Schizosaccharomyces pombe: one gene and its partners. Changing the gene in region 1 together with any one later gene gives a genetic interaction. Each region holds a gene or a part of one and is shown in the gene's direction. Other genes may lie near its edges.

Region 1 (6,404 bases):
TGAAGAAATATTCAGAATCACTATGCTTGCCAAAGACTTCGTTTCCTATTAAGCCAAACGTTAAAGGAAATAATGAAAAGTATTTCAAATCCATCACATCAGACCTGTATGAATGGCAGAAGGAGAATTTGAATAAAGAAGATTCTTTCGTGCTATTAGATGGGCCTCCGTTTGCAAACGGTCGACTGCATATAGGTCATGCTCTAAATAAGATTTTGAAGGATATCATCAATCGTTGGCAATTGCTGAAAGGCCGTTCTGTGCATTATGTTCCTGGTTGGGATTGTCATGGTTTACCAATCGAGTCAAAAGCTATTAAAGCAAACGCCGAGCGTAAAAGTTCTCTTGAAATTCGAAAGATTGCTAAAGATTTCGCAAATTCGGCCGTTCAAGAACAACTCATGATGTTCCAACGTATGGCTGTAATGGGAGATTGGCCTTCTAGGTACATCACCATGAGTGACAAATTTGAAATAGCAGAGCTTAAGGTTTTCTTAAGTTTGTTACAAAAGGATCTTATATTTCGTCAAAATAAACCTGTTTATTGGAGCTCTTCAAGCAGGTCCGCTTTAGCTGAATCAGAAATAGAATATGATGATAATCACGTCAGCACGTCTATCTACTTTACGTTTCCGGTGAACAGTTTTTCTATCGATGGATGTGAATACAATAATGTAAAGGCATTAGTTTGGACAACAACTCCCTGGACCATTCCTTCAAACCTTGCATTATCTTACCACCCTGAAATCAACTATGGTCTATACCAGCACAATAATTCGATTTATTTAATGTCTGATAATTTAGTTCCAAACTTGGATTTTATGCAGGGAGCTAAGCGTCTTGCGAGTTGCCCTTCAGATATTATTTCATCATTTACATATGAGAACCCTCTATTACCGAAGCAAAGCTTTCCATTTTTACAATCTAACTACGTTACTAATGATATCGGTACTGGTATAGTACATGTCGCTCCTGGCCATGGAATGGAAGATTATCTTCTAGGACTGGAAAACAATTTGCGTCCTTTTTCACCACTCGATGATTATGGTCGATACACTAAAGAAGCTTTGGATGGAAGCCTTGAAGGATTGGAAGTTCTTGGTGATGGAGGAAAGAAAGTAATAAGTATTATGAAAAATCAAAATATGATTGTTAAGGTCTCTCCTTATAAGCACCGCTACCCTTACGATTGGCGAACACATAAGCCATTAATTTTACGGGCGACCCCTCAATGGTTTATATCATTGGAGAATGAAAGGAAAACTGCCATAAAAGCACTTGATAGTGTAAAAATGATTCCTCCAAATTCGCGCGCCAGACTTCTTGGTTTTTTGAATGGCCGTCCTGAATGGTGCATTTCTCGCCAACGGGCATGGGGTTTACCCATTCCTGTATTGTATGAGAAAGGAACTAAAATCCCCCTACTAACTGTGAAAAGTGTATCCTATATCATTGAGAAAATGGAAGTAGAGGGAGTTGATTCTTGGTTTAATGATACTGAAAACAATGGGCATGCTCAGTGGGTTCATCCGGATTACAGAAATAAGGAGTATATTCGTGGCACTGAAACACTTGATGTATGGTTTGATTCTGGGACTAGTTGGACTACAATAGCACCTCGTAAGAATAAACCGCTCATTGACCTTTGCTTGGAAGGAAGCGATCAACACAGGGGATGGTTTCAGTCACTTCTTCTCACATACACTGCCTACCAATCAAAACCAGAAGCACCGTTTTCTACTTTGTTTACGCACGGATTTATCTTTGATGAAAGAGGTCAGAAACAATCCAAGTCTTTGGGCAATGTAACCGACCCTGAAGATGTAATAAACGGAAAGCTTTTAAAAGGAAAAAAGCTTCCATATGGTGTTGATTTACTGAGACTTTGGGTTGCATCATGTGACAGTACGAATGATACTAACCTGGGACCGAACATTTTGACGCAAGTTGGTGAATCCTTAAAAAAGTGGAGATTAACATCCCGATTTTGTCTTGGGAACTTACATGACTGGAATACCTCGAGCTCAGTTGATGTTGGTGAATTACGTGGTATTGATAAGTTGGCTTTAGTCCAACTAGATAAATTTCAGACTGAAATTCGAGAACTTTATGAATCATATTCAATTAACAAAGTTGTTCATCATCTCAATTATTTTATGAACTCTTTCTTATCCTCTACATACTTTGACGCCGTAAAGGATCGTCTGTACGCTGATTTACCCAACAGTGTATCTAGGAGAAGTGTTCAAACTGTCCTTTATCATTCATTACTTACGCTCATTTGGGCCATTTCTCCCATTACTCCACTTTTGGCACAGGAGATTTGGCAAAGCTTACCCGATAGTTATTTGAATTCTTCTTACCAAACTCCTTTTCACGCTGGAGAAACACATCTTATAAGCAGCTTAAGGTCAAAAGTTGATTTACTTGATAGAAAATTTTTAATTAAGGAATACTTGGTTCTTCAACAACTTAAGTATAGTATTAATTTGTTGATTACCGCAGCTCGTGAAAATCTAACTATTAAAAACTCATTAGAAGCTTATGTCGTTATTAAGTCAAAATCTCAATCTTTATTGAGTTTTTTAAAAAATTACTCTTCCGACCTTCCTTTTCTGTTCAATACATCGAAGGTATTTATTAACGAAATTCCCGAAAATCTGAAATTAGCTTCCGTTACACAACCTGAAGTTCAGTTGGATTATGGGGTTGCAAATATCTCTTTATTTTTTTCAAATCAACAAAAATGTCTACGTTGCTGGATGCATACAGCTCATGAGGACGGATTATGTGACAGATGCGAATCTGTTTTGGCCCAACTGAAACGCTAAGAAAAAAGCTGAACGCTCTTTATTATGATAATTTTTGTACCATAGTCATTTATTTTTGTAATACTTAATTAAAATCAAGCGACAATTCATTTTTTGTATTATTTTATTTTACTGTAACATTAGTAAATAAGGAGACATAGTGAAGGCCATAAGTTTGGGTGGTTTTGGGGCTAACAGTTGACCTTCGCAAACTAGCAAAATGTCAAAACGCGGTGCTGATCATCAGTTAACTAAGGATCAAGATGATTCTGATGATGACCGTCATGGTCCAGTTGAAGTTCCTAAGGAGGCCTCCGCAGACGTGATGGCCACAAGAAAGTATGTAACGATGAAACATAGTTCTTCAATTTTTTAGGTACTAATGTATTAGAATTGCAAAGCCAAAATCTAGAAAAAGACCAACGAGCGGTGTTTCTTCTCCGGGAATTTTTGCAAATTTGGCAGCAAAACCGGTGTCTTTACCTGCATCGACTACGCAATTTACATTTGGAAAACCCGCGGTTACAGCTAATAATGATTCAGATATTCACTTGAAAAAACGCGGTCTTAATAAATCATTTATTGACGCTGTTATCAAAAGTGTTGACAATAATCCCTTTGGTAATTTGAGCCCTCTGTTTGATGAATACAGGCAGCATTTTTCAAGTATAGAAAAAAAGCCAGCAGAAGGTAATGCGTTTATAGTTAGTACTTCATTTCTTTCTAACGTTTTCTTAGAACAACCAACTTCAAATGCTGTTGTGTCTGAGGTAAATCCTCAGCAACAAAAAAGCCAAGATTCTTCTTCTTTTGTTACAGAAAAACCAGCTTCTTCAGAAAAAGAGGATAAGGAGAAGCCCCTTGTTCCCCCCGGTGCTCCTAGGTTCGGATTTTCTGCTCCAGCGCTTGGTAGCTCTTTCCAGTTTAATTCATCGGCTTTTACTCCTAAAGGGTCATTTGGTGAGAAGTCCGCAACAGAAGCGGAAGCGAAGGAGAAAGAAACATCTTCTAATCAAACTGCCACTGGTACTGCCGCTACCACAACCAACCAGTTTTCATTCAATACTGCCGCTAATCCTTTCGCTTTCGCTAAGAAGGAAAATGAGGAATCAAAACCATTAACTCCCGTGTTTTCTTTCTCAACGACTATGGCTTCTGCGGATGCTTCAAAAGAGACCAAACAAACCCATGAAACTAAAGATTCAAAGAGCGAAGAATCTAAACCCTCGAACAATGAAAAATCCGAGAACGCCGTTGAACCTGCCAAGGGAAATACTATGAGTTTTTCTTGGACTCCTGATAAGCCTATCAAATTTGACACACCTGAGAAAAAATTTACATTTACCAATCCATTATCGAGCAAAAAGTTACCGGCCTCTTCGGATGTGAAGCCTCCTAGCGCTGCGGCTGTCGGCTTTTCATTTGGAACTACTACTAATCCGTTCTCTTTTGCTGCTCCGAAATCTTCTTTTCCTACTTCTTCTACTCCAGCTTCTGTTGGCGCTGAAAAAAGTGAAGAAACTTCTAATGGAAACAAATCAGAGCAAGAAGAAAAGGAAAACGGAAATGATGAAACTCGATCGAATGATTCTCTAGTTTCTGGTAAAGGAAAAGGCGAAGAAAATGAAGACAGCGTATTTGAGACAAGGGCCAAGATATACCGTTTCGATGCTACTAGTAAATCTTATTCTGATATCGGGATTGGTCCATTAAAAATTAACGTAGATCGTGACACTGGCTCTGCTCGCATCCTTGCGCGTGTCGAGGGAAGTGGAAAACTTTTGTTAAACGTTCGTTTGTGCCAGGATTTTGAATACAGCCTGGCTGGTAAAAAGGACGTAAAAGTACCTGCTGCTTCTACTGATGGAAAATCAATTGAAATGTATTTGATTCGTGTGAAAGAGCCTAGTACTGCGGAAAAGTTATTAGCCGAATTGAATGAGAAAAAGGTCTCAAAGTCAGAGAACTAGAAAGCAGTGATTGATTCAGTCACTATTTATTCCTTTATTTTTGGTCTATTAAATGTACATAAATCTAATAAATTTTTCGGAAATATATTGTCAAGATTATCAATTTAATACTGTCATTCGATTTTCATTTGTGGATAGGGATATACACAATCAGTCTTTTACGAAATGTGCATACAAATATGAAATTCCCGGAAGCATACATGCTCTCCAAGTACATTGCCTTTATGGAATATTAAATTGGTTAAGCTAGTCATATCTTTTCTTTTTAAATTTACGCAGAACATCAAAGTTTTACGGAACTGATTTAATTATCCTAATTTTCATCTTATGAATGATTGATAAATTTTTGAGTGAATTTTAAAACTGTTGTATATCGCCAGTGATATATCTTGAATTGATTGATTCAATAATCGGTTTCGTTATTAAATTACTTTTGTCTATATATTGGTTCCGGATTTTCAAACACCTGCCTAGCTTTTAGAAGGGTCAAACCCCCTTATTGAATAAGTATCTTGGCGCGAACTTTTAATAAAATAAGCAAGTAAATGAGCCACTATCAATTTCGAATTGTTAGTTTTTTGAAAAAAGTAACTTCAACAAATACGTTTGTAGCGAATTTATCGCTTAAAGTTGATTTTTTTACTGTAATTGAATACTGTATTGGACCGGCTATAATTAACAGCTTAATTTTACAAGTTAAGAGTTATAATCGATAAGTATAAATCATTTTAGGGTATCAATTTTTGACCATTCTAACACCTAATTTTTTGCATGTTTATCATAGTAAATACCCTAAAACATCCAAGTAAAAGCATAAATAATGACTACCAAAACGAGCCCATAAATAAATTTTTTAAGAGAATGAAACAAATTGTTCTAACCGAGCTTAAAGTATGAAATATTGGCTTAGCAATAATTAGATTCATGACAATTCGGATACTGATGAACTTTAACTATGTTCAAAATTTTGGGATTCCTCATCCTCTTCATCTTCTGATATATCCTCTTCATCGACTGGGTAAGTGAGAATGGCGGCAATACCTGACAACAGATCCAGCTGCTTCCCTGACTCATGCAAACTACTGAAAATATAAACAGGACAGTTAATCTCCTTAACACCTTCTACTAATGAAACCCATTTTTTTCTAGTAGCAATGTCAGAACTCCTGAACAGAGAATCGCTAATCAGAAGTTCTCCGATCGCGCCAAGTTCAAAAGCCTTCAAAACATGATTTGGACCATACCATGCCTTTCTATCATCTTCATTCATGACATCGTAAAATTTATTCAGAACGCGAATTTCTTGTACGTATTTTGTGTCGGCTAGTTTTGATTCAACAGCAGGGTCCTTCAAAATTTCATTAAGGGAATGAATATGACCAGTGCTAGAATGAAGGATGACAAATTTATTCTTTGATTTAACAATTTGTTTCAAGTCTAACTTCACGGCCATGCTGAATATGTAGTCATACAAGCCTCGAGCCACAAATCCTGGTGAAGCAAGAATAACGACTTTCAATTTATCAAAATCAAATTCTGAGTTAATGGATTGAAAAACAGAGTCATAAAATTTATCAAGGCCCTAAAAAATTGATCAGTACGGACGAAAAATCAAAGTCTAAAA
Region 2 (7,391 bases), on another chromosome or scaffold:
AAACCGTTCTTTCCATTACAAACTGGCTGGGACTTTTAAATGGAACAGGCTGGATTTACTCCTTACTAAATCAGAACGTTCTCATGTGTTTAGAAATGCCCTTTTTTGCCCTCTCACATTGGTACGCTTTTCGAATCGAGGATTACGATACACCCACATGGCTGTCTTGTGCAAGACTACCGCTCCTTAAAGCCTTTAAAGACGTAATCGGGTTGAAAGACGTCTGGTGCGATAGTTTGCAAACTCTACATGGAGATCGTTATGTATATCAAAATTTTGAGCCTGGGGAGAACTTAATACCTTCAAGAAACGATGGAAGGATTAATAGAACAAGTCATGGTCTTCGGTACAGTCAGGGAGGTCAATCGAAATACTGGATTTCTCGATATGATCAATCTCGAGTGCGTCTCATTAACAATAGTCAAAACTCTCCACAATCAAATAAGTCCTACTTTTCTATCCCAGGGATGTCAACTTCACATTTCGAAAATGGGCTCCAATTTGAAATAGACGATGAAATGGAACCATTATACAATCAAGCGAAACAGATGCGTTATGGTGATTATAATTATCCAGTTCTTCTAGTGAACAATACTCATGCATCTTCTTCATATACATAAAAGTCACTAGAACCTAGTAGCAAAAGAACTTAATGTATTGCTGAATGGCATTGCATTGGACCGTTTGGTTTTTGGCATTTGATTCTGAGCTGCCAAAACAATTTCATTCAGATTTGTCTCTAAGACAAGACCACCAGATACTACCTCAGCAAGAATAGCATGTATTTCTTGGAATTTAAAAACCTATATTGTGTTAGATCTTTCTAATTCGCTTTCAAACAGATGGCTTTCAACTCTTCTAATTATTTCTTCCTTCAATATCCTTTTTTTTTGGCGTATACACTTGTATTTGGATAATTATTACTAACACCTCCTCTTTTTTTTCATTGGAGATTGCGAATCATCGACAATGAGACTCTACTTCCAGTTCTATGCATAATTTCTTTCTTGAAGGCGATGAGAAGTAAAGGAATTAGGAATTAAACTCTTGTAGTTCCTAAGTTCAATAAATGATAAAAATAAATGTTATGCTCTTTTGATAATCGAATATTGGACAAACATTAATGTTTCTTGTAAGGCCAAATTTCCAAACATTCGAAACCAAATAAGAAAAAAACAAATTAAATAAAAAAAAACGGAATCAATGGTTTCAAACATATAGCAGTAGGATAATGGGAAGATAAACGAGTAGTGAAATGTACTTACCAAATCAAGCTCGCAAACATTATTAAAGCATCGATCTAATGCTTCAACAAATACCTTTAATAGTTAGAAATTGGAAAGTAACTAATTTCAACTTACTTGAATGAGATCGAGAATTCCTAGTTCACTTTCACCTTCATCTACTACAAAAACGAAGTAGAGAGTAGCGTACTGGCGATAAATTATTCTATTTTTACCTGCAATTAAATTACTTTCCAAAAAATTACAAGCGGTTGGGGGCCTAGTGGATACAGCTGCATATATATCTCCTATTAACTTTTGTTGAATGGATTCATCAATTGGAGTGTAAAACTTTGTGAGACGAGGTTTCCCTTTATTGTTAAATATAAAAACAGCGTAAATCATGACAATAGAAAGGGAAAGCTGGCAGAACCCAAATATGCAGTGCTTGGTAAACGGCAAGCTGAAGTTTAAGTTGAATATACGTTAATAGTAGTTTGGAAGAACCAGGATCGACAAATTTCTTTCAATGCCTTAGTTAATTTGCTATATTTAAGATTTTCATGGTTTTATATTTATTGAGTATATTATTTATCCACTATTGAACCAAAGATCTGTTACTGAAATTCATAATGTCTAGTAAACAATTTTTGCCATGCCTTCAATGATCTCTATAACGAACTACTTTGTATACAATTTAGGAATAGAAAAATAGGAAAAAACATTTGTCTTCCACCAATTTTTGAATTGATGGTTATGAAATATTCAAATAGCTACATAGTATGTGACATCTCAGTAATAAGTAGACACATACTAATAGTTATATGAGGTGATCCCACTATTCAGTTACTATAGGTATATATTGGTAGCTTTTTTTTGATTAATATACTAATTAAGTGAATATTTGCATAATATGATTAGCAATGAACGCTGCCTTGCTATATGGGAGGCACTTGTTTTAATCAACACTACTATAGATGATAGTAAAGCGAAATTCCAATTACGTACGATTAGACAGTACGTGCCTAAGTGTTTTTCTATGAAAATAGAACTAATCATTTCTTCATACAATGTAAGCTGATTTAAACGGAAGAATTTAAGTATTGCAAGTAAGTTGCTAGAATATTAGACAGCCTAAAACTTGATAAAGCGAATATTGACGAAGCTAAGGCTCGTGGACTACTGTTGCAATCACCACTTTACTGGTAACGAGATTAAATAGAATTTGATATCCCATTTTTTTAAACCGAAAACAAATTGTATTAACATATTCCATCTTGCTTAACACCTTCAAATAACTCCCTTTCTTCTCGTATTAAACATTTTTACGAAACGTGTTACAATAGTCGTACAGTTCCTACGACTACGATATTGGCATATAACAAATAGCGCTACCAGACAATCAATAAGTCATTAGCATGAAAAATAATTGCCACGTAACTAAACTCGCTACTTCTCATTAACCAACGTCTTCTAGTAGTTGTCGATGAGTTTGTATTGATGCCTCCTGTTTCAAAAAATACTCGCACTTCATCAAAGACTGTTAAGAAACCCTATGACCCACCTCAGGGGAGCTCAAGGCCCTTTTTTACGGTCTTGAAACGGGCATTTTCATCTGTTTTGCACCCATTCACCAGTGGTCTAGACGAGAAAGCTTCAGGAACGGCTAGCAAGGATAGAAAGAGTGGAAGAGCAGGTACAAAAAGCCTGCTTACTCCAGAGTTAACACCTCATTATTTAGGAAAATCTCCGTAAGTTGACATTTTTGTCGTGAAACATATTAACATTAAATAGAAGAATTATTCGCGTTAGTAATCGGAGCCATGTTAGAACAATTGATGGAATAGAGGAAAAAGTTCATACGAATACATTTGAACCTAGGAAGCCAAAGCAAAAGCAAGATTATACTAATTCCCCAACGCTTTTTAAACGCCATGACGAGTTGTCGTTAAAATCACTTAATTCGCTTCATCCTTCTTCTGCTTTATCCAAAAAGTTGGGCAGCACTTCTCAACATCAAATTGCAACTCCCAAATCCTCTGCTTCATTGCTCAATATCCTTCGGTCACTTCACGATGAGCAGAAAAATACCTTAAATATATCAAGTGTAAAACAAGATCGTATTACCGAAGCTAATCCTACTTGTGAGAAGCGCAAGCCTTCTAGAAGTCCCAGTCCTATGCTTTCCAAAAAGAAATCTGTTGCTCGTGCCTCTGAAAACGAGCCCTCAGCTAAGCAGAACAAAAGCTTTTCTGGAAATGATTCCCATAAGAGTCTTACCGACATTAGAGATAAGGAGAATGGCGAAACAGAGGTCTCAGCAAAAAATCACGTTCCTCACCGCTCCTCTCGGCGACGTCGTAGACACCAGCGGCTTATCCCTATCATTTATGAAACTCTTGAACAGATGGATTTAAGGAAGCCTGTATTAGTCAATGCAGAAGTTCAGACAGATTCCAACCCCGGTAATACAATGTTTATTGATAAGCAAGATATTTATCACCGGTTAAGTACACCCACTTCGCGTAAGCGTCAGACTCTCGAGAAAGGTCATATTAAGGCTTTTTCTGCAGTTGATGAGGATTTGGATGAAATCTTTGCTTGCGAAGATGACGTTCATTACACCGCATTACCCAAACAAAATCCAAAATCTGAGCGTATATTAGAACCTATAATAGCATCTCCCAAGGATAATACAAGTGACAAGGGTTTATTGACGAAGTCCGCCCCTACCTTTGAAGAGCTTCAAGCCTCTATTACCCCTAAGCCTGTAAAGACTTCTCCGAATGATACGGCACTTACTCTCGCGAACGCTGAGGATAATAAAACCTTTGAACATCAGCCATTGTCAAAGGATACAGAAGCGCCCAAAAGCCAATTTTCCTCATCGCCGACAAAAGAATCTACAACTAGAAAGTCCGAAGTTGAACCGCCATCACCTTCTAAGGAAATCAAATCTTCTCACTTTTCAGTACCCGAATTTAAGTTTGAACCGAAGACTGAAGCTACCACGGACAAAAAATTAAATGTACCCAAATTTGAGTTTAAGCCAACTGCTACTGCTGATGTGCAAACTAATCGTTTGAAGGAGAATGAGCCCAAGCCAACGTTCTTTGCACAATTACCGTCAAAGACTCAAGAGACGCCAAGTATAACTGAGAACAAGCCTTCATTTTTTTCTCAATTAAGTCCAAAACGAGAAGAAACAGAAAAGAAGGACAACGCTCCGTCTGCTCCTGCTTCAACTTCTGGTTTCAGCTTTGGAGGATTCGCACCTAAAACCCTTGAAGAGAAGGAAGAAACGAAAGCTCCTACGTTCAATTTCTCTTTAAACAATGCTTCTAGTACACAAGACACAACAAAACCTACGCTACAATTTAATTTTGGAAGTAGTTTTGGAAAGCCAACAAGCAATATTTTCAATGACAAAAAAACTTCTGAAAATGGTCTAGCTAGTTCTACTGTTGCTTCTGAGTCAAAACCGTCAGCTCCCGAATCAAAACCGTCCTCGGGTTTTGGAAATACCGCAGGCTCATCACCCTTTTCATTCAATTTGACCAAGGAGTCCAAAGAAGTCCCACCTACAAATTCCTTTTCTTTTGCTAAAAAAGGGAAAGATGAAGCGAATGACAGTTTGTCAGCTAAAGCTTCTACTCCATTTTCGTTTGCAAAACCTAATACTGAAAATGTAACAACAACTGCTCCTCAGTTTTCATTTAATTTTACCAAGCCAAATACGGATGCCAAAACCAATTTGCTACCTGAAAAAACTTTTAATGAAGAAGCCGTAAAGCAAAAGGAAACTGAAAAAGAGGTCCCTCCAACAGGTCCAAAAGCTTCTGAAATAAAGGATTCAGTATCTTCTAATAACGCTGTGCCCTCTTCAACCTTTAATTTTGTATCTCCCTTTGCTGCTGTATCTGAAAAAACAAATGAGAATAACATTCCTAACGATACAACGAAGACGAATGGCAATGCTACTAAGAGAACTTTGGAACAAACGGAGGATGCAAAGCCTTTTGCTTTCTCCTTCGGTTCCACTACAGAACAGGCAAACAAAAAAGCCTCAACGTCAAATGAAACTACGAAGCCTCAATTGGATACATCTTCTAAAACTGATGGAGTAACTGCTAATGCGCCGTTTAGTTTTGCATCAGCTTTTAATGCACCTAAACCCTCGACTAATACTGCTGATGGCAAAGATTCTGCTTCGAATCTTACCACTCCTTCACCTGCTTTTTCATTTGGAAACAATAGTGGTGTTAAAGCATCCAGTAACAACAATCCCTCTACAAATTCGTCTACGGCACCGTTTTCTTTTGGTACATCAAATAAACCGGCATTTAGCTTTGGGTCTGCAACTTCAAAGACTACCTCTGAAGGAACCGCTCCAGCTGCTTCTGCTTCTGCTCCTGCTCCCACTACGTCTGCATTTTCTTTTGGAGCATCAAATTCTAGTATGAATAAGGAAGAGAACACTCCCATGGCTAAGGATGCTGGAGATACGGCACCTGCGTCTGGCTTTAAGTCTGGGTTTTCGTTCGGTGCTAACAATTCGCCTCAGCCTGCTTCTATGTTTGGTACATCGACGCCGGCCCCGTCTTCCGCGTTTGCGTTTGGCAACCAGTCAGGCACGAACCCAGCAGCTCCTGCAGGGTTTGGAGGGATTACTAATACTGCCACTAATAACCCTCCTAGTACAGGTTTTACATTCACTCCATCAAATGCTGGATCAACTGCGGCTCCTATGTTTGGCGCTGGAAACACTCCCAACCCATCCGGGTCCATCAATAATGCATCACAAGCATTCGCCTTCGGGTCAGGAGAACCTAGTAATCCAGCTAGTAATCCACCTAGTACCGGATTTTCGTTCGGTGCGGCTACTCCGTCTGCCTTTAATGCAAGTGCCTCACAATCACCAGCGCCCAATGGTATTCAATTCAATTTGGGCTCTTCTAACTCACAAACAAATGCGCCCCCGGGCCGTAAAATTGCTGTGCCCCGAAGTCGAAGAAAACGTTAAATTAATATTATGACATGTTGACAAGACAATATGACAAAACATTGCGGTTGGGTATATGATAGTTTAGATAGACTTTGTCCTTTAAATTAATTGCTAAGGAATAATTATTACATTTTTGTTTACACATACGGACGCTTTTATTCTTATTATATAAATTAAAGTACGAGCTTTTTGTAAAGGAGGTCTAACCAAGTTACCCATGAGACACAAAACCCAATTTCCATTATACATATGAAACCCTAATATAATCTAGTATCTAAAAAATTCAAAACCTAACCAAACACTTATCATTTGAAAATTTCTCCCTTTCACGTATTCACCTATTTGCGCTTAGATTTCGATTTTTTTGTAGACTTTTTGTTGCTAAGTCTATCATTCTTTGTCTTCTTGTATGCTCGGGGCACCTCTTCCTTTTCCATTTGCTTTTTTCTTTTAGCTAAAGACTTTTTATCTTTCGCTTCGGAGGCTATAATGTTAGCAAACATATTTTTTTATTTCAATGTCACATACCTTTAGAAGCTTGTTTATCTTTTTCGGATTGAAACCAGGTACGTGCTGGACGAGAACGAATTTCATCACCATATTTCATAATGTTTTCGCCTTTCTTTAAATCGCGTTCGGCAATTTTTAGCTACATTTGTTAGAAAAAAAATTTATATACTTATAAAAACAACATACTTCTCGTTCTTGTTTTTCTTCATCTAGCACTTTCTGAACAACAGGTTCCAATTCCTCAATTTCTTTACCAAACTTTTCAACTTTGTTAAAATCCAGATTACGGTTGACCAATTTTGTGTTTTGCGCTGAAGAATTTTTGAATACACCTTTAAGAACTTTGCGATCGCCCTCACCGGCTAATGTAATAGCTCTACCACTCCTGCCAGCACGAGCAGTACGACCAACACGATGAAGATAAACTTCGTGAGTAGCTGGAGCTTCGTAATTTATTACGACCTCAATGCCTTTGATATCAATACCACGAGATGCAACATCTGTAGCCAACAAATAGTTACATTTTCCATCACGAAAGTCTTCCAAAGCACGGACACGCTGTTCTTGCGACAATGAACCGTGGATTTCGGTAGCGTTTAAGGATAAAAGGCCAAATATGACTCGCATCTTGTGAGCAAAAGCTTTGCTCCTGA
Region 3 (4,877 bases), on another chromosome or scaffold:
CTTATCGAAGTTTTATTTTGAGTCTTTTGCAAATGCTAGAATTTTTACTCTCTCGATTAGATGGGACTATAGATCTTTCCTCTGAACAGCATTATCTGTTGTCCAATTTTGTTTTGGTTGGAATGTTGAATGATGATCCAGGACTTTCGCCAAAGTGGCTACATGCTATAAAGAAGCTTTTACCTCTTCTTTTACAAAACCTTCAACTTTTGATGGTTAATCCCATTCAATCTTTGTGCAAATTTGTTCATTCATTTCTTGACCAACACGAGTCTATGTACCTAAAATACCCTGACCCAGTAAAAGATTATGCGTGCATGGATGTTTTTATTGCTAAGTTGAAAATGCTTAGCGAGTTAGTTTCAGCAGCCTTATTGGAATTCACATATTCACCCGGCCCCAAGAAAAGTAATTTAGAAGCCAATGGTATCATCGGAAATGTCATTTCTGGTGTGTTTGCAGCGGAGTCGTCAGGCGTTAGCATCGATGTCAACAAGAGATTATCTATGCTTTTAACTATGCAGGATGCTTTGCAAACATTATTTTTATCATATTCATGGCATATTCGGTCTTCATATGCTGATAAAACGTCAAAAGTATTTATGAATGATTCATCGGTTTTAAAAGAAGCATCCTTATCGGGATTAAAAGAGTTTTACTTCTGTGAACCTCTTGAATGCGTAGAAACGCTGGTACAAATCTATTTGGAGAACAATGTTGAGTGTTGCCAGTGTATATGGGATATATTTTCATTTCTTAGTGATTCTGAACCTCAGTACATTGTTAAGCAATTAGTTTCTTCTTTTTTTGCACGTGAAGGAATAGCTAGTTATGCAGGGCCTTCTAGTTTGACAGCAAAGATTACACAACTCGATATTTTATGCTGTATGTCTGACTTCGTCTCCAGAGTGGAGGGCGAAAACACATCTAAGATTTTTACGGAAATTTCAAAATTTGTTCGGGAGATTATTTCTTCCTCAAACAGCTTTAAAAACTATTTGCTGGTATGTTTACGAATGCTACTGGAAGTTGCAAAAAACGTGAACACTTATTGCGAATCTCGCCAGCAAAAAGACTTTATTGATTTGATGGGGAAAACATTGTCCTCAGTCTTATTTCATGCAGGAAAATCAAGTGATCCAAACCTAACTGTAGATTTTCTGGCGTATCATAAAGCTGCTGCAGACACGTTTGAGGTTGCCAAAACACAAAAGAAAACTAGCTCCGTGTATTTATTCGTAAAATACTTAGATCCCTCTTTGCTTGACTTTTTCTGTTCTGAGTTTGTTCCAAAAATAACCGAGCTTTCTAAGGAAGAAGATAAACTAGTTGCTTGGGCTACATCAATCGTCAATGTATTTATAACTCCTTTAGTAAAGGCTAGGACATTTCCGGAATCACTCACCACTTATCATTTGGACTTATTGCTCGTGTTGAGTAAACATCCGTTTTTGAGTAAATCATGGAGGCGCGATTTTTGGGAAATTTTTAATGATAATTCACTGTTCAGGTTCGATATTGATCAATTAAGAAAGCTTTCTCCAGTAATATACACAGCTTTGTACCAAGAGATATCTAGATTAAATGATCTCATAACAAAATCTGATTTAGGCGTTACTACTTTATTTACATCTCGGGATACTCAACTAGGTGCAAGGCAGAGCAACATATGTCGGATCACAATATTAATGTTATCTTCTCCACGTGATTTTTTCCTGCCTAGTCTTCCACCTCTGATTGACCTTGTCAAACGGCTTATAACGTCTGATCCTGAAGGAGTATTAAAAAAGGACCTGTTTTTATTTATTAGAGCTCTAGCTTTAAGGACCTCTTCGAAGCATTTGCTTCCATTATGGCCAATCGTTGTTAGCGAATTGTTGATCATTTTTAAATCTTACTGTATGCCAAATGTTGCCATTTCTAAAGAGACATTATTAGACGCATGCAGGCTTTTGGATTTTTTAACTGCACTCAAACTTGAAGAATTTGCGCTACATGAATGGGTTGTGATGCTTAGTCCACTAGATGCTGTCTATTGGAGCGGAAAAACTAGCCGTAAATCCCTCGTACAAAAGGTTTCTGAGCGACTTCAGGAGCAAGCATCGGAGAAGGACGACAAATCCAGTGTTGAATCCGAACATTCTATTCTTACTTCAACTACAAGAACCCCTTCTTTAGGCATTTACACAACGGACGCTCAATTAAGAAACTTTTTAAATCGCATTTCTATAGACGCTTATGAAGAAAGCTACTCGTTTTCAACAATCGACATACAATCTTTTGAAAATTCTATTTACAGGGAAGTTCTTCAAAGGTTTTCTAATGCTCCCCTATCTCCCTTTTCTTCAATTAAGGCTCCATCAAGCCTGGCTGGCTCCAGTAATTAATTCATAGTATTTTATATCGATTAGGAAGTCTAGGCTGTGTGGCTTCTTATGTAACTTCCAGTTACTCTAACCTAATTATTTTTGTATGTATTTTCTTTTCAAGTTTCAATGTTTATATTCGGAAAATGGCTATAGGGTTTAGTTTGCAAATACTTTAGGAACCATGTTGGACATTCATTTAAAACTGCTTTAATTTATAAAAATTGTTAATTAATGTTGTTTCTTAATTCATTGCACATAAGATGGAAATTAATGTAAGTTAAGTTTTTCATTTCAAATACTAATATTATGAAACCAACTTACGCAATCAAGGGCAGTCCGTTAAATCCGATGCCAATAGTTGTAGTGAATTTTTAAACCAGAAAGCACACCGAATATTCAAGATATTTCACTCCAATCGTAAATATTATTTTGGTTATATATCCTATTTAACATTTAAAACGATTTTTATCGATTGATTCACAATCAATTTTATTTTAGCATGGTATGTTCATCCATAGATAAACGTTTGGCTGACGACAACAGCCAAAAGCAAAAAAAAGAGTCAGTCTAGCGTCAAAAGCATCAAGTCGTTTACCGTCTTCTGGTAAACCTAGCCAACAAGCTAGTATTCCAAATGTCGAGTTATCTTCCACCGTTACTTCGAATAGTCAAGTGCTCAACAATGATCCGCTGAAAGAAACAAAGAAAGATAAACGGAAAGACCGTCATTTCAACTGGCAGCAAAAATTTTCTAATCCAAAAATATCTGCTTCGGCTCGTAAGCGCCGGAACCGTAAAGCCAGAGAAAACCTGAAAGTCAATGTGTCTTCGATTGGAGAAGTACTTCCAGAAATTGATCTTGATATTTCGGTAGCTAACTCCAGGTTGAAGCCCGTAATTAAGGATAGTTTATCTTCTAAACAAACTAAGAGTTCTATGAAACGAAATACCGTTGAGGAAATCGAAAGGTTCCAAGCCATATTGAAGCACCCTTCATTCGTTTCAAATCCTTTGGAAACGGTACGGGAGCACTTAGGAAACTCTTTGGATAGTAGATAAATAGAGCATGCTCATGTCTAGGTAAATTTGGAAGGAATTTGAGTACACTATAAATGCATGATTAATTTGGGGGGTTTTCTTTGGGAGGTTCTTTTCATACTTACTGATTATGTTTTTACAATAAAAAAGTCTACTGATCTAGTTTGTTATTCAGTATGCAAAAAGAGAGCTTGATTTATTTATTTATTATTAAATTCATGTTTTAAACTTTTGACTCAACAACTTAATCAGTAAAAGATGGTGAAATTTGTTCAAACCCATTACGATTCCCATGTAACAAATAAAAGTATATATCCATAATAAAATTTTAAGTAACTTTCTTACTTTAAGTAAACCCAATTCAGCGAGACGGTGCCATTGTGTTGCAAGTCCGCAAATGACAATGTACTTGCAATATTAAACCATTAGCGCAATAAAAGAATGAAAAACATATTATATGCCAAGCAAATAATAGAACGGTAAATTGATACGCCCTAAAGAAAGAAATTTTTTGAAAAGGTTGCAGATGTAATACCTACACATATGTGACAATAGTAACTTCAATCATTTCCATTTAATCTGGATGTATTGTCGGGATGTCACTACGATCACTTATGTTAACATAGGCCAATGATTTAGAAGCTTCGGCTTCTATCCGAAAAAAAACCCAAACACAACGTCGGAAAACTTCAAGAAATTGCATTATAAAGATCCCAAAGTCGGTGGTAAAAAACGCGGATTGATGTTCAGGCAAAACGCGAACTACCCAGGCCATTCGCAAAACAAAATCAATCGCACTTACAACTGCAAATGTGAATGTTGGGAATAAACGCCGAACCCCAAATTTCCAGTTTTGGATTGATAACGGTTGCTTAAAAAAGGGAAGACTCCAATCCATTGAAACATCCCACCAAAATGAATAAGTTGAATTTATAGCTGAAGAGGTATTCCATAAAAACCATAGAAAGCTAAATCTTTTCTTTGCAAAAATCCCAAGGAATATCGCTGGAAAAGCAGTGAAATACTTGATAGAATTCAATGTACTCCAAAATTTATCTGATGAATTATCCGCAGAGCTTCTTTCAATCAAACATTGACGAAATCGGATAGCGTATGGATACGCTGCAATCATTGACATAATAACCTCATTTTCATATTGTTTTCTATGAGAGTTATTAGGTGAGTCAGTTACGTAAATCAAGATTGCTCCAGCTAGCCAGAGATCAGCAATGACCCTCGAGTAAGAAGTCAATAAATCAGAAAATATAACATCGGGAAATTTGTAATCAGGTCTGTAGCTTCCTCCCAAAATCCTTAGACACTGTCGAGTAAACACCTTTCTCTGGAAGAACCAGAACTTATGTACAGGCATAAAAACAATAACACCAAAAATAAAAACGGGGACGTATGCCAATTCATCAGACCCAGAAATCAAATATAAGGATTCGGCTATTACGAAAAGTAGAGTAC

Evidence for each region.
Region 2: of nup61 (region 1) and nup124, changing one enhances a phenotype caused by changing the other (phenotypic enhancement), as found in Schizosaccharomyces pombe (2 studies listed by BioGRID, with this or other methods).
Region 3: mutations in nup61 (region 1) and slx9 together harm fitness more than expected from each alone (negative genetic interaction), as found in Schizosaccharomyces pombe (2 studies listed by BioGRID).

What each region holds. Positions count from the first base shown.
Region 1 is NC_003421.2:729,848-736,251, reverse strand, and holds nup61 (nucleoporin Nup61), read left to right. Parts: upstream 1-3,010; 5' UTR 3,011-3,030; coding exon 3,031-3,149; exon of another isoform or gene 3,150-3,201; coding exon 3,202-3,500; exon of another isoform or gene 3,501-3,548; coding exon 3,549-4,780; 3' UTR 4,781-5,381; downstream 5,382-6,404. Other genes in the region: ism1 (isoleucine--tRNA (Ile) ligase), read left to right, coding at 1-2,831; dom34 (translation release factor eRF1 family protein), read right to left, coding at 5,730-6,362. UniProt on the Schizosaccharomyces pombe protein: Functions as a component of the nuclear pore complex (NPC).
Region 2 is NC_003424.3:1,109,491-1,116,881, forward strand, and holds nup124 (nucleoporin Nup124), read left to right. Parts: upstream 1-2,684; 5' UTR 2,685-2,723; coding exon 2,724-2,974; intron 2,975-3,017; coding exon 3,018-6,246; 3' UTR 6,247-6,378; downstream 6,379-7,391. Other genes in the region: transporter Hfl1, read left to right, coding at 1-620; AP-3 adaptor complex subunit Aps3, read right to left, coding at 627-803, 1,266-1,319, 1,362-1,628; ddx27 (putative ATP-dependent RNA helicase Ddx27/Drs1), read right to left, coding at 6,567-6,712, 6,757-6,877, 6,925-7,391. UniProt on the Schizosaccharomyces pombe protein: Nucleoporins may be involved in both binding and translocation of the proteins during nucleocytoplasmic transport. In S.pombe it is required for the nuclear localization of retrotransposon tf1.
Region 3 is NC_003424.3:495,303-500,179, forward strand, and holds slx9 (ribosome biogenesis protein), read left to right. Parts: upstream 1-2,754; 5' UTR 2,755-2,868; coding exon 2,869-2,871; exon of another isoform or gene 2,872-2,912; coding exon 2,913-3,428; 3' UTR 3,429-3,725; downstream 3,726-4,877. Other genes in the region: dop1 (family protein DOPEY), read left to right, coding at 1-2,387; erd1 (EXS domain-containing protein), read right to left, coding at 3,982-4,877.